2 linked regions of the Tamandua tetradactyla genome follow. The protein of the gene in region 1 purifies or fractionates together with the protein of each later gene. This does not show direct contact. Links are inferred from orthologs where the notes say so. Each region holds a gene or a part of one and is shown on either strand. Other genes may lie near its edges.

What was found.
Region 2: the proteins of SEC13 (region 1) and NUP85 purify together in Homo sapiens (affinity purification with mass spectrometry; 5 studies listed by BioGRID and IntAct, counting the BioPlex papers as one, with this or other methods). This does not show direct contact. The link is inferred for Tamandua tetradactyla from reciprocal best matches to the Homo sapiens genes SEC13 and NUP85.

Annotation. Positions count from the first base shown.
Region 1 is NC_135335.1:38,755,663-38,763,821, reverse strand, and holds the start of SEC13 (protein SEC13 homolog), read right to left. Parts: upstream 3,046-8,159; 5' UTR 2,932-3,045; coding exon 2,929-2,931; intron 1-2,928. UniProt on the Homo sapiens protein: Functions as a component of the nuclear pore complex (NPC) and the COPII coat. At the endoplasmic reticulum, SEC13 is involved in the biogenesis of COPII-coated vesicles.
Region 2 is NC_135332.1:15,619,931-15,627,184, reverse strand, and holds the start of NUP85 (nuclear pore complex protein Nup85), read right to left. Parts: upstream 3,134-7,254; 5' UTR 3,053-3,133; coding exon 2,792-3,052; exon of another isoform or gene 2,758-2,791; coding exon of another isoform or gene 2,734-2,757; intron 1-2,733. UniProt on the Homo sapiens protein: Essential component of the nuclear pore complex (NPC) that seems to be required for NPC assembly and maintenance. As part of the NPC Nup107-160 subcomplex plays a role in RNA export and in tethering NUP96/Nup98 and NUP153 to the nucleus.

The DNA.
Region 1 (8,159 bases):
ATTCCCTGCTAACTGGAATGGCTGCATATCTACATATCCTCTGAATATCTTCAGTGCTGAATGTCCACAACATTCTATGCTATATCTTCTTCCTAGGAGAAGGTGAGCTCCCTGGAGCCAGGGTTTGAGTTAGCTGCAGATTTTTAATCCCTTCAAATCATCTGGCACAGTACTTAGCAGTACAGTGACTACTTGCTGAATGAACAAATGAATGAACAAAAACTGACATTTTTACTTTGCTCAACCACTACTCTCTTTAAATTCTTAGGATATAAAAGGAACTGACAAGATGTAGTAGAGAGGCTGGAGGGAACTGCCTGAAAATGTGGAGCTGTGTTCCAGTAGCTATGTTTCTTGAAGATGATTGTATAATGATATAGCTTTCACAACGTGACTGTCTGATTGTGAAAACCTTGTGTCTGATGATCCTTTTATCTGCCTTATCAACAAATGAGTAAAACATGAAATAAAGATGAATAATAGGGGGAACAAATGTAAAAATAAATTTAGATTGAAATGCTGGTGTTCAGTGAGGGGGAGGGATGGGGGTATGGTTTGTATGATTTTTTTTTCTTTTTATTTCTTTTTCTGAATACGTGCAAATGTTCCAAGAAATGATCATGATGATGAATACGCAACTATGTGATGATATTGTGAATTACTGATTATATATATAGACTGGAATGATCAAAAGTTAAGAATGTTTGCGTTTGGTGTTTTTTGGTATTTAAAAAATTTTTTTTCAAAAAAAGGGACTGAAAGCACAGTTATATTCTGGAATTGATATTTACCATACCTTCTATTTCATCTTTTCAAACACAAGCCCTGCTGATATAAAGTTTAGACTTAGCTTTTCAGAAAGGTGGTTTCTGGAAGAGGATAGCTGCATTTGTGGACAAAATGTACACAAGTAAAGACAGCTTCTTTCATGAAATTCTAAACTCCGTAAAGAGAGGATCCCCAAGAACTGCAAGGGCAAGTAAGGAAGACAGATAAGGGGAAGAGTCTCCTATGTATGTAGAGCACTACATGTTACAAAGTGATTCCACATGTGTGCTTGGAGGTACAAAGGGCAGAGTTAATCAGGGATGTCTGACTCAGGAACTGAAGCTCAGAGAAGAGAAAGTACCTGGTCACAGTGACTAAGGAAAGGCAGACCTGGGAATGGAGCCTTTCTCCTAGCTTGCAGCCCACAAGGCTGTCTATCTAGAACATAAAGTAGCTGTTACAATGTATTCCTTAAATCCAAGACTGAAGGCTAAGGAGAGTCAGGAAGAAAGTTTACTAGGAGGTAGTTTCATATCAGGTCATCAAAGGACCTTAAAGATAACTAGCATTTATTTCTAACCACTCTCACCCACCAGAGTTGGTGAACCATGATTCTCAACATGTGTGTGTGTTTTGTTTTTTTTTAATATTTTTATTGAGAACTACCCACAAACATTCAGCCCAACCACAGTATATAATCAATGGCTCACAACACCACCACATAGTTGTGTATTCTTCATCATGATCATTTTTAGAACACTTGCATCACTCCAGAAAAAGAAACAGAAAACAAACAAACAAACAAACAAAACCCCTCATACATCCCATACCCCTCATCCCTCCTTCTCACTGACCTACAGTACTTCGACGTACCCAATTCTTACCCTTTACCTCCCCTTATTATTTGTTTATTTTTAATTCTGTTTCTTCTTCTTCTTCTTCTTTTTTTTTTTAACTCATCTTTCCATACCCTGGATAAAAGGAGCATCAGACACAGGGTTTCCACAATCCCACAGTCACAATGTAAAAGCTATATAGTTATACTGTCATCTTCGAGAATCAAGGCTACTGGAACACAGTTCAACAGTTTAAGGTACTTCCCTCTAGCCACTCCAAGACACTATAAGCTAAACAGGGATATCTATATAATGTGTAAGAATATGTGTGTTGTAAGCTCTTAAAGCACTTCCTCCCGAGCACACGGAGTTATCTGTGTTTTCCTTTTTAAAGTTCTAGGAGGCAGTACTCAAAACAATTCAGCTCCTCAGAGTCAGTCCATGAGTTAAAAATTCAGTTAAAATGAGCTGAGTATCAGAGCACAAAAGATCCTATTCAGCACCTGAAGCCTCTTCACCCAAAAGAGGAGGAACTAAACCCGATGTCTTGACTTGGGGTTTCCACACGTCTGTGACTGAGTGAGCGTTTTTAAATGAACCCTCACGGGCTGAAGATGGAGGCTTCCATCCACTATTTCTCAGTTCGGACAGTCAACTACCCAATAAGTCTGGAGTACACGTACACCGTGGATACCAATGAGATAAAAACCTCAGCTCCTGCCCTCCAGAAAGTCCTTCAGCACATCCTTACATTCAGTTTCCTGAGGGGATCATCATACTTAGGGTACCTTCTGTGGGGCCCTGCGCTGAGTAAGAGTTCGACAAACATCTCTGCTGGCACAGGTGGTAGGTGGCAGAACTGAATCTTAGCTCTGCGACTCTTCTGCTGTGCAAGACGTTCCACATCTCCGGACCTTAAGTTGTCACATCTGTACAATGTTGATAATAATACCACCCACCTCATAGGTATACTGACAGACTGAGCTTATGAACAACACTGGGAACTGACTACGGGCTCGGATACGGTAGCTACAATGCTATTTTGGGTTCTGTTTGTTGAGGTAAGGGAACTAAAGGAAGGTACGAGAGACGCGGCGGCCGCGCGGCACGCAGAGTTCCGGGAGGTTCCGCGGCCTTCCCCTCCGAAAGGAGCCGAGCGGCAGGGCCAAAGACCCCAAACCTCGGGAGAGTGGAGGAAGCTAGACGGCCCCTCTCTCGGGCTGAGCGCAACGCGGCAGTGGAATCCGACAGGGCGAGTTCTGTCCGGTCAGCAGACGCGACCCCGGCCCGAATTCCGCTGGGTGTCCCGGGTCCCAACACTCACCATGACTGCGTCAGTGGCGGCTCCGGCCCTCGGACGTGGCAGCTCCCGGTTCCTCCCAACGGCTCACTTCCGGTGCCGCTCGGCCGGAGTCTCCGGTAGCAACCCACACCGGCGTGCAAAGGTTCCGCGCAGTCTAGAGGCCGCGCCGCGCCCTCCCGTGGCCCCGCCCCTTTAAGGATCCCGCGGGCTGACCAGATGAGGCTGCGGGTTCCACCCGGACCCTGACCAGGGGTCACTTGGAATCCGAAACTCAGATACCAAGACCGTCTTCCCTCCGGGCCAGTCCTTCCCTTTTCCTGAGATCCGTAAATGAAAGAAAGGATTCATAACTGCAGCTTCCCCTGCCTCCCTCCGGTTCGGGATGCGACCGTCCTTATGACGAAACATTGTAGGATGATTAAATATTGGGGGATGGGTGGGTAAACTGGACGCACCCAGTACTTTCTTGTTGTTAGACCTTCCTCAGAATCCAAGGGCTGGGACGCCGTGAGGCTTGTTACCCCTCCTTCCCCTAGTCATAGGGCCGATGCCCTTCCCCACGGTCCGGGATCCTGTGAGTCTGGCCCGTCAGGTAATCGACCGGGCAAGGAGGGATCTTAGCCAGGTTCCTACAGCTGGAGCCCAGACCCAACCACTAGAGTCCCCAGTCCTTAAGTCCCTGGTTGTCCAAGGGGAGGACCCCAGTAAGCTCAGTGAGAACCCTGCACCGCTGGACAGAGATGGGGGCTCCTTTCTGCCACACATGGCCCAGGAGTCTGGCCCCTCATGGCACTGAGGAGAGTGACCCAGCGTGGAACCTAGATTCCCCTTAGATGACAGTTTCCTCTCTTGAAAACAGGGTAAGAAATCTAGCTGGATGATTACCGCTTGAGGAAACTCAGGACTTGTACTTCCTTCCAACGGATTTCAGGACTTGTTTATCCCTCTAATGGAAAAATATTGCAGGACTGTGTGGGAAGTGGGGCGGGGGGTGGGGGGAGTGGGGACTAGTATGGAGCAGAGAATAAAGGTGGGGATCTCTTGGGTTTCCTGTTCTTAAAGGAATAGACCTTGGCCTCCGGTCTGTAGCTGCACCACTGATTTCTCTCAGTGATAAGGCTAAGTCAGTTTTCTCCCTGAGCCTCGTTTCCTGAACTGGAAAATGGGGATAATGGCATATCAGATATAATATAAATATAATGCATGGTGGAATAGTTGTTATTAAAAGAATGTCCTTGCATAGGCCTTGAAAAAGAAATTGAGAATTTGGGACAGAGAATGAAACTGTATCTTACGCATTGCTGCAGACCTGAAAGACAGTGTTAATAAACTGGTTTAGAGTACAGGGTCAGGAAGGAAACTCTTAGTTTAAATACTATATTGCCTACCAGCTAGTAGTACCAAGTGGGAACTGTAATAATACACCCTCTGAAGGTTGATATGAGATTAAATGGATGTGAAATTGGAAGTGGATGGGCCTGGGAAGAGGCTAGGATTTGGGGTTCATGTGTGGCTGCATCTCCCATCCCTCACTCAACATTGGGGATGGTGTCTTGCTCTGATGCTAAGCAGAGGTTTACAAAGTTCAGACACTTTGGGTACCAGGCTCCCCTCTTCCTAATAGGGATGCTTCTTACATCCTGTGTCCATTATCTCCTGCCCCCAGAACCAAATCAGGCCACTCTTAGGTCTCCCCAATTTGTGACCCCCTCTCCCCCGAGTCCCTTTGCCTGCATCTTCTCCTCCTCCTCCTGAGGCCCCTTCTAAGATTTTATTCTCTGGGACTATTGGCCATTCCTCATGGAGGGTCAGTAGCTGATGGCAGGTTAAGTTTGTCTCTCTCCTGGATTTTCAGGTATGAATATGCACTTGTTCCAGAAGGTATGACCTGGTGGAAGGAGATACACAGCCTTGGGACTTCCCTCCCAGGGACTTAATTTCCCCGGAATTTAAATCCACGAGGGGTGAGGTGGAGACCCAGTTGTCCTGTGGAAAAAGGTCTTGTGATGTGTACCGTGTCTGTGTTTCCACGTGTGCATTTATTGTTATTGCTCAGTATAGTGTTGAAAAGGCAGACAAATCCCATTCATTACAGAGAGCACAAGCCAGAGATACAGAGAAATAAAGAGTGTACAATAAGAGCACAGTCACTTCCCAGTCCCATTTGTCCCAGAGCCCAGGCAGCTTGTGGAAGCTGGAGGCGGCACCATTCTCTCGCTACTCTGTTATAAAATATGTGCACACAAGAGTTAGCAAAGTGTGGTGACCCCCAAAAGGTCCGGGAGAGAGAGCACCACAGGCATTACAAAACACGTAGGGGTCTGAGAAGGGCAGTCCCAAAGCAGCCTCAAATATCTTGTTTTAAGGGGAGGGGGTGTAGGCTGATGCCCAGAGCCTGAGACCCCCTTTCCCCTACTTGCATGGGTAGATCTCTGCATCAAAATCTGGGGAGCTTGATTTGGAACTTGGAAATGACCCAGGGATTTCCTGCTGTTATCTGATTTAGGATTTGGCTCTGTAAGATCCAAAGGCTTTCTAGAACTACACACACCGCCCCCACTCCCAAGACCCTCTAGTGGTAGGGCTTCAGACACTACGTCAGGAGAGAGATTTTTGTGGGTGGCTTGTCAGAGGGCACTAGGTTGGCAGCCTTCTGTAGGCAGAACAAGAATGTGGTGGGGAGAATAACAGTGGTGATAAGGTCCAGATGAAAAATTGCTGTATCCCAAAGGACCTGTCACACAACCTCTGAAAACTCTGGGTAAGAGCAGGAGGTTCTTAGCTTCTCAACCCCCAAACAAAACACAAACCCCAAAATAGACAGAACCTGCTCAGGAAAGGGAGATGGGAACAGACAGTTCTCCACGATGAGAAATTAGAAGTACATGACAACTGGGCCACATATTCCTAACAAAGGTCTCTCTCCTAGGAAGCTCTGGTAGCTCCAGGTCTGGGAGAGACGCCACTTTCTCAGCTGAGCTAGGGGCAGGAGGAGCACCCCCTCCAGCAAGGCTAATGGTGGGGTGACTCTGGTTCCCAAGCTGAGATTAGGTGGGAGCTCAGTGGCCTTTCCTAACAACTCCTGAGCTCAGGTGACAGATGAAATGATGGGAGGGGCACAAGGCTTCTGGCAACTGGCACACTCTCTTTAGCGGCCTTGAGTGGCTGGTAATTGCAATGAAGGGAAAATGCTTGCACACTGAATGACAGGACCCAAAATTTGGGGTAGGAGGAGGGCAGGGATGGGTAGAATTGGCAAAATGTTAAAGTTGACTTCAAGGAGCAGATGGAAGAGAACAACCAAGAAATTTTGTAAGAGAAGAGTGAAGCAGACTCACCCCACCGGTTAACAAAACGTTATAAAGCTACAATCATTAAAACTGCGTGGCTTGTGCCAGATGAGACACCCAGAAAAGGGAACAGGAGAGAAATTCCAGAAACAGTCCCAAGTCCCTGTAAGACATGGCATTTCTAAAAGGCTGGGAAAAAGAGGGCATTATCCAATATCGGGGACACCCAGGATAAGACAGGGATGGAGGCATTGCTCCAGTACTGTCACTGTCATTAGTCTGGTCTCAGAAGCATGGCGCCCTCCCTCGTGTTGGGACAAAGGGACGGGGGGGCAAGGGGTGGTGGTGAGAGGCTAACAGGAGCAATCGGGGCTGCTCCTGAGTTAGGGAAAGCTCTGCCTGAGTTTCAGGAAAGAAATTCCACAGTCTCCTCCCTGCCCACTTCCAAAGGTGGCTGACTCGATAGCCTTAGGAGTCCCTGAATGGGGCTCCCTGCTCTTCCCTCATCTGTCATGGGGGGCAAGTTGGTGAGTTTAGACTTCAGAACTGAATCAGTTATCTTCTCCGGGGGCTCCTGTCTGCAGGACAGAGGAGAAACTAAGTGGATGGTGCAGCCCCAGCCATAGAGAAAAAGTATACAGTACAGAGTATAATATACTTACTATGTTGTTTGAGGTTGTTTTTTGCTTTTTTTTTTTTAACCAGACATTTCAAAACCACACTGAGGGATTAAGGAGTCAGCAATTGAAAGCATAACCATTGCATAGTATTAAATGAACAGAGACGGTGAGTTTTTTTTATTTACAATTATCGTCTAGATAAAAAAATTCATAAAAACAGATGAATGGTCATAAATTATTTACCCCCTAATGGGGTGAACTGCCAAACGTACCCCATGCTGCTAGATATAGGACGCAGAGTGCAAGCTTTACGGACTACAGTGAGTTTTGACAAACCAATCATTTCCACTGTGTGTGGGGATGTATGCAAGTGTGAGAGTGAGGGGGTGTGCACTGAGGGGCTATCATTCCCGACAGAAAAAGACCAACATGAATGCTGTCCTTTCTGAGGTGGCTTCTGTCACTCCCTATTCCCAAGCCAGGCTCCCCTTGGAGAGGCCCCTCCTGTTTGCCCTGCAAGTGGAACAACCCTGGTGTCACGGGATGAGGTTATGGACATGTGAATGGTACAAAGAAGGGGAGGATGGAAAACGTGAGAAAGGAAACTCCAAAAAACACCATGTTCCACGGCTGTCCCATGTTTCACATGTGCAGGTCTTTCCTTCCTCTGCAGGAGGGTGCAGCTGAGTCCAGTGGCATATCCGAGGGCTGGAGGTGCGGTTTCCTCTGCCGGAAACATTTAGAGATATTTCTCCACGCTGTTCCGATGATGCTTTCTGCCCAAGACAGTCCTACTTGAAAGCCTTCTTCTCACAGGCAGGGTTAGCTCGGTGGGCTGGGCTGACTCTGGACCCAAGCTCTCAAGTTTCTCCAACAGCCATCCAGACCCAGGCCCTCCCAGCTGACTATGGCTCTTTTCCCAAGTGGATCTCATCTGGTTTGTGGAAGAGTTCTCTGGGCCCAGAGAAAGGAAGGGGGCCAGGCTGACACAGAACAGCTCTGGGAAGGGTCAGCGTGGGGAATGAATTTTGCAAGCGAGGCGGAAAGGGTTTGGTTTTTCCTTGAAGCATGGGACATCATCGATCATGGTATTCAAAATGTCTTTTGCACTGTACAAGTTTATGGAAAAAGATCGTATGCTGAAAAGTCTCAAAGCAAACTTTGTATTAAATACAAAAGTTCTTTTATGAAAAAAGCTGAGACCCACAAAGTGCTTAGCAGTTAAGAGGCCAACATACAATTAAATAAGCTCTTATTAAGTGGGATTACTAGTGCTGATATTGTCTTGGGGGAAAAATAACCACCTTTTCTCACCTGTGATACTGTAGGGTTTCAGAATGGC
Region 2 (7,254 bases), on another chromosome or scaffold:
GACGAAGGACATAGAGGTCGATATAAGAGAACAGAAAGTCCAGAGCAAACCCACATGCATATGGCTGATTTTTAACAAAGGTGCCAAGGTAATTTTATGGGGAAAGGATATATTTTCAACAAATAGTGCTGGAACATATGGATATCCACTGGGGGGGGGGGGGGATAAAAATTAAAAAGTAAGAGCAGAATCTATAAAACATATAGACAAAGCAAAGGAGAACATCTTTTTTACTCTGAATGAGACAAAGATTTCCTAGAACACAAAAAGCACAAACCATGGAAGGCATAAAAGAAAAAGATTTATAAAGGACTTCATTAAAATTAAAAACTTTCCCTCTTAAAAAGATATTGGAAAGTGAAAAGGCAAGCCATAGATTGGGAGAAAATATCTGTAAAGCATCTAATTGATAAAGGACTTCGGTCCAGAATATATAAAGAACTCTTACAACTCAAGAAAAACAACAACCAGATAGAATGGGAGAAAAATTTGAACACAGTTCACCAAAGAAGATATACAAATGACATATAAGCATGTAAAAAGATTCTCAATATCATTTGTCATTAGAGAAATATGAATTAAAATGACACTGAGATACCACAACACACCCACTAGAATGGCTAAAATGATATGACTGATCATACCAAGAGTTGACAAGGGTATGGAGCAACTGCATTTCTCACAATTTGCTGGTACAGGTGAAAAAAAAAATGGTATAGAAGAACTGAGCTTCTTCTAGCTAAATATGCATCTACCCTAACTCCTAGCAATTCCACTTACCCAGAAGAAAGGAACGTGTATGTGCAAACAAACAAAAACTACCAGCTTGTACAGGAACACAGAACAGCTTTATTCACGGTAGCCAAAAATGGAAACCCAAGTATCTATCAACAAGAAACATGATTCATACAACATAACAAATCCTAAAAACAATGAGTTCTTGAAAAACACACACAGAAAACAAATACTGAGCTAAATTTCAAGAGCAGGCAAAATTAATGTATGGTGCTAGAACTCAATGTGTGGGATGGTGGAAACTGACTGGAAAGGGAAATGAGGCTTCATGTCTGGGTTTCCATGGGTCCTTGAACTACATGTAATTACATGCATGGGGCATTTTTGGAGGGAAAATTTGACTATAACTTACATTTCTTAAGCGTCCTTGACCCCAAAAATAAATTAAAAAGGCTAAGACCACTGGTCTAGATGAACTACCCACCCAAGACTATCCTACTCTCTTTAATCTATGCTGAGACATCACTGAATGTGCTAATTACCAAATTGCCTTCATGTGCCCTGATAAGAAGCAGTTGCCTGAACAGCAGACAACTACTATAAGAGGTATATTAATAAAATGTTATTCAGGTATTCAGGGTTATTTATCATTCTCTTGAGAGTCTGATTAGAGTAAACCCAAAGCACAGATTAACTCTCAAATACAGAAAACAGTTTCATTTGAATTTGCAGAGTCCAGGCTTAGAGTTTGGACTATGAAATTCTTCCAAGATGGTGCCATGCAGTGAGGCTCTGTCCACAGGCAAACCAGCTTCCTAGCGGGTCTCCCCAATACCAATGCAGAATGTGGTTACCACAAATTAATCATCATCACTTGGGGGAGGAAGGGGGCCTAGCTGAACATTTTGTCCCTTTTGAAAATGCATATCCCAGTATCAGAGAAAAGGTTCTCCAGGGTTTGACAGGGAAGTTTCCCTCATTCAAAGATTCTGACATAAGTGGACTGTGAAACGAAAAGACGACATATACTTTCAAAAAGTTATATCAGTAATCCTGGTTTTCTAATTCTTCTTCTTACATACACCACCAACATTGATATAAATACTTGATACATATTAAATATTTAAACTTTACAGCAGTAAGCTCAATAGAAAGTAATAACCATGTTAGTTTGCTCCTACTTAATATCTCATGTCTTATTTCTGTCTATTTAGCTTTGAAAGATCCTTATTTTCAATGTTTGGTTTGTCATAGACTGCTTTGCAATCTGGTGGTTTTAGATGAAAACTGTTGTCATTTCAACTTTCTAAAAAGCAAAAACACACGCTCAGTTAATTACAGTTTGTTAACAGCTAAGAAGTACAGAACTCTGAAAGCCTATAACAGACAGGAGATAGTTCACCTACTCAAGGTCAGGGTAGGCTTTCCTGAAAATGAAGCTGCTGGTGCTTGGATTTGAATAGTGAGTAAGAGATAAACCAAAACCAAAGGGGGGACTATTCCAAGCAGAGAAAGCGGTAACTAAATAGTATCTAAAACCTAGGAATCTATTTATAAACATTAAGATCATCCGCAGTTGACACTGTTCTCGAGTTCAAACGGAGTTGAATGCAAACAGAGCAATGAAACTAGCAATAGTCTCCCGAGAGAATAAGTTTAATAAACCTCGGGCCAACACTGTACAAACAGCTGACAGAGTCCAAGCTCCCGGCATTACGATGTGGAGTTTAGTTCGGCTGGAAGAAAAAATCTTCCTTCTGCTTGGTCCAAGCCTGCTCTAATACCCAAGAGGAAAGGCCAGGGGAAATGGGAAGGACCGGAGACCTAGGGAGGGAGCAGGCCCTCAGGGGACAGGTTTCTGAGGGAATAAAAGAGCAAAAACCCAGTTACCACTGCAAACCCAACTCTGGCATCTAGTTAGTGTCGAGACCTCCCGACCGTGGCCAATAAGCCGACATTCTCGAGGGCGGTACGTAGGTTAAAAAGCCCAAAACGTACAAGCAGGCACAGCCTTCGGACCATGAGGGCAAACAAGCCTATTCGGGGATGCCCTTACAGTGACTACTGGCTCGCCATCGAAATCCTCCATGTCGCCGCGACCCAGCCGCCCGGAACTCGCAGGGACGCCAAAGCTCCAAGGCTCCCGCTCGACCCGCCTGCTCGCAGTCCGGCTGGCAGAGAAGACCCCGCCTGAGCGCCTCCTGCACTGCCGTTCAGGCCCAAACCCTCCAAAACGGCAGGCACCTCTCTTCTCAGTCACAACCCGTCTTCTGCGGCCTTCTAAAACTATCGCTCCTTCCTGGCCTCGACAACACATCAGGGAAAACAGCCAAGGCCACTCTGTCCTCACAGTAATTCTCCGCACCGATCAGGCGCCGCCGAGGACAGCCCCGCGAGCGCGGCGCGAGCGGCACCCCGGGCGGAGGCGGCGCGGGTGCGCGTGCGTGGCCTGGGGCGGCTCCTGGCGCTTGGGTCCCGGCCCCGCCGTGTGGAGCGCGCGGTTTCCCGCGTGGCCGGCTCTGCTCGCCTCCTCCTAGTCCCCTTGATACAGTCGCTGCTTCTCCTGGCGGTGTCCAAGGAAAGGGAGCCCCGTCGGCCCAACGGACTTGTGTTCGAAGGCAGTAGCCGCCACTCCCACCCCAAAACACAGGACGTACTTGAACGAAACTGATGCCGCTGAAACAGAGACAGATAGGCTGGTTTAATTAAGCACAAACACTGGTTTTCTTTCTGCAAATAAAGGCCGGGACCAAACAATAGCAATCAGGGAATCCGTGCCTCTGTTACAGAAAACTTAAAAGTGCCCCCAATAACTTCAAATTGTGAAATTGGTTTATTTTCAATGCCATATAACAGTTGTCAAGTAAGAGAATAGTACTTTTTCTGAATTTCTTATGTAAAGGACTTTTCGAACGAACTAAAGATATTTGAAATTTGAAAGACTTAAGAATGCCTGAAAATGTAGCAGCTTCCTTTATTTAGGAAAGAAATTATTTTGAAAACCAGACAAATGTATGAGTGCCCTACCTGGAAAACTTCTTTCCCTGAGGTTATTCCGAATAATCTATTTGTATTAGTGGAAATAAGATGACTTCGAGAGTTAGGAAAATCCTCTCACCCCAATAAAACTTTAAGGGTTTTTTGTTTTGAACACGATTGTTAACTAAGAGAAGGAAAATCAGTGTCATCAAAAGCCCTGTCACTGAGGTCAGACATCTGTAGGAAGAAATTTAGCATAGCCTTACACAAAACTCCACAGCGTTTCTACCATCTGTATTTTGCTGCATATTCCAAATGGTTCACAAAGTTTCACTGATCTTTTTGTGACTGCCTTAGTGATCAAACCCGGGGGGTGGGGTGGGAGGTTCTCTGCCCAATTTACACAAATGAGCAATTCCTGAGACGAGGGTTTCACTGGGAGAAAGCATTTATTGCCAAGTGCGAAGCAAGGAACAGATGGCCTGTGTACCCAAAATCTTTGTCTCCAAACTACAATAACTCTGAGAGTTTTATAGTATCAAAGGCAGGTTTTAGGATAATGAGTAGAATGGCTCACAATGACAAAGTTAGAGATGATCTAATTAAGCATGCACAAGTTGATTACATGCCTAGATAGAGAATATATATATAAGAAGGTGGTGGCTTTAACATGATGATGGGTATGACTTTTAGTTTTATCATTAGGTATAGGTCACATAGGTTAAGGCTTACCCTACTGCACTTGGCAAATGGGCCAATTTTAGTTAGATCCAGTTTTGTCTAGTAAAATAGCTTAGGAATTGGGGTGGGTTCTGGGCTCCTTAAGTTACTTCCTTAATAAACATTAAGAGGCTGTCTAGTTATCACAAGACTTAAATGTTATAAAACAGGATAAAGGGGTATAAGCGGGGCCAGTTACAAATTATCACAAGGCTTTTACAATCATAAGATAAAGAGATAATCATCAAAATCAAGGCATCTGGTCAATGGCTGAGAGATTCCAAACAGGGTCGAGAGGTTATCCTGGAGGTTATTCTTACGCATTAAGTAGATATCACCTTGTTGTTCAAGATGTAGTGGAGAGGCTGGAGGGAATTGCCTGAAAATGTAGTGCTGTGTTCCAGTAGCCATGTTTCTTGATGATGATTGAACAAAGATATAGCTTTCACAATGAGACTCTGTGAATGTGGAAACCTTATGTCTGATGCTCCTTTTAGCTACTATATCAACAGAAGAGTAGAACATATGGAATAAAAATAAACAGGGGGAACAGGGCAGTTCACGGTGGCTCAGCAGGTAAGAGTGCTTGCCTGCCATGCCCAAGGACCTGGGTTCGATTCCTGGTGCCTGCCCATCTGAAAAAAAAATAATAGGGGGAACAATGTTAAAATAAATTCAGTTTGAAATAGTGGTAAATGAAAGTGAGGGGTAAGGGGTGTGGTACGTATAGTTTTTTTTTCTCTATTATCATTTTATTTCTTTTTCCGTTGTCTTTTTATTTCTTTTTCTAAATCGATGCAAATGTACTAAGAAATGATGAATATGCAACTATGTGATATTAAGAATTACTGATTATATATGTAGAATGGAATGATTTCTAAATGTTTTGTTTGTTAATTTTTTTAAATTAATAAAAAAAATCAAGGCATCTGGGTTAAGGTTCAGGGAGTCTCAGTAGATTCAGATATTTACTTTGGCTATTCTACAATTACTCGAAGGTAAAAAGGTATCTATATAATGATTCAGTCATCATAATCATTTGTTAACTCTTAACCTCTCCGAAACAACTGGTACCACAATGGGGCTTATGAAGTATGAGCATGATATATTTATGTCCAGTTTTAAAGGGGAAAAAAGAGGTCCAATGTTTCCAAAAGGAAAATAAACATTCAGTAGCAGATAGATGAAATTTTTTTTGTTTTATTTTTTTGCATGGGCAGGCATGGGGAATCGAACCCAGGTCTCTGGTCTGGCAGGCAAGAACTCTGTCTGCTGAGCCACCATGGCTTACCCTAAAATAGCTTTTGTATCTGCTTTGGCTATTCAAAATTCTTGAAGTAGAAGTTAAAGCCAAGTTTGATAAGACATTGATACTTAGAAATCATTCCTGATTTCCCTCAGAGAAAATTCTCTGAGACAAGATGGGCGTAGAAGGAAAGGAAAAGATCACAGGACAAAAGACCAAAAAGAAAAACCATCCTTTGCAAAACATAACTTAAGGAAAATTTAATTTGAACAAATGAAAACAAAAGAGCTTAGAGAGATATATAAAATAACTAGAATATGCAAATTAATAAAGACAGAAAGTAGAGTACAGTGTTCTAGCTGGCTACAATGCAATATACCAGAAACTCAGTGGCTTTTAAAAAGGGAATTTAATAAGTTGCAAACTAACAGTTTTTAGGCTGAGAAAATGTTCCAATTAAAACAAATCTATAGAAATGTCCAATCAAAGGCATCCAGGGAAAGATATCTTGGTTCAAGAAGGCCAATGAAGTTCAGGATTTCTCTCTCAAGTGAGAAGGCACATGGCGAACACAGTCAGGGTTTCTCTCTCATTTGGAAGGGCACATGGTGAACACCACGTCATCTGCTAGCTTTCTCTCCGGCTTCCTATTTCATGAAGTTCTCCGGGAAGCCTTTCCCTTCTGCATCTCCGAAGGTCACTGGCTGGTGGACTCTGCTTCTCCTGGCTATATCATTCTTCTCTGCTCTCTCAGAATCTCTCGACTTTCTTGTTCTCTAGCTTTTTCCAAAGTGCTTCTTCTTTTAAAGGATTCCGGTAAAGCCAATCAAGACCCACCCGGAATGGTTGGAGACACGTCTCCACCTAATCAGGTTTAACAACCACTCTTGATTGAGTCACATCTCCAGGGAGATAATCTAATTGAAGTCTCCAACATACAGTGCTGAATGGGGATTAGAAGAAACTGTTGCTCCCACAAGGCTGATTAAGGTTAAAACATGGCTTTTCTAGGGCACATAAAGCCTTTCAAACCAGCACATACAGGTTAGAGGTTGTGGAAGGAGGGATGAGGAGTTAATGGGTTTCTGTTAGAATGATGAGAAAGATCTCGTGATGAATGGTGGTGAGGGTAACACAACACTGGGAATTTGTTTTAATCCACTAAAGTATATACACTACATATGGTTGCATATCTATTTCCACATTAATGTATTTAATGTGGAAATCACATTAAACACATGCCTTTGAGTATAGGTTGTACCTATAATGATTCTTGAACACTTTATACTTCCATGTACAGTTCCAAATTACACGTTCCTGGATTGGATCTAATAATGGAGGAGAAAAGGCCCAAAAGGACATTATTGAGACATATGAAAAAATTAGTATATAGACTAAGCTTTATATCCATGTTAAATTTCTTGCACTTAATAATTTTACTTAGCGTGATTACATAAGTGATTATCCTTGTTCTTAGGAAATTACATGGCAGTATAAAGTGTTCAAGAAGCATGATATGTACAACTTAAACTCAAATACTTAGAAAATAGATGGATAGATAGGTGACACAGTAA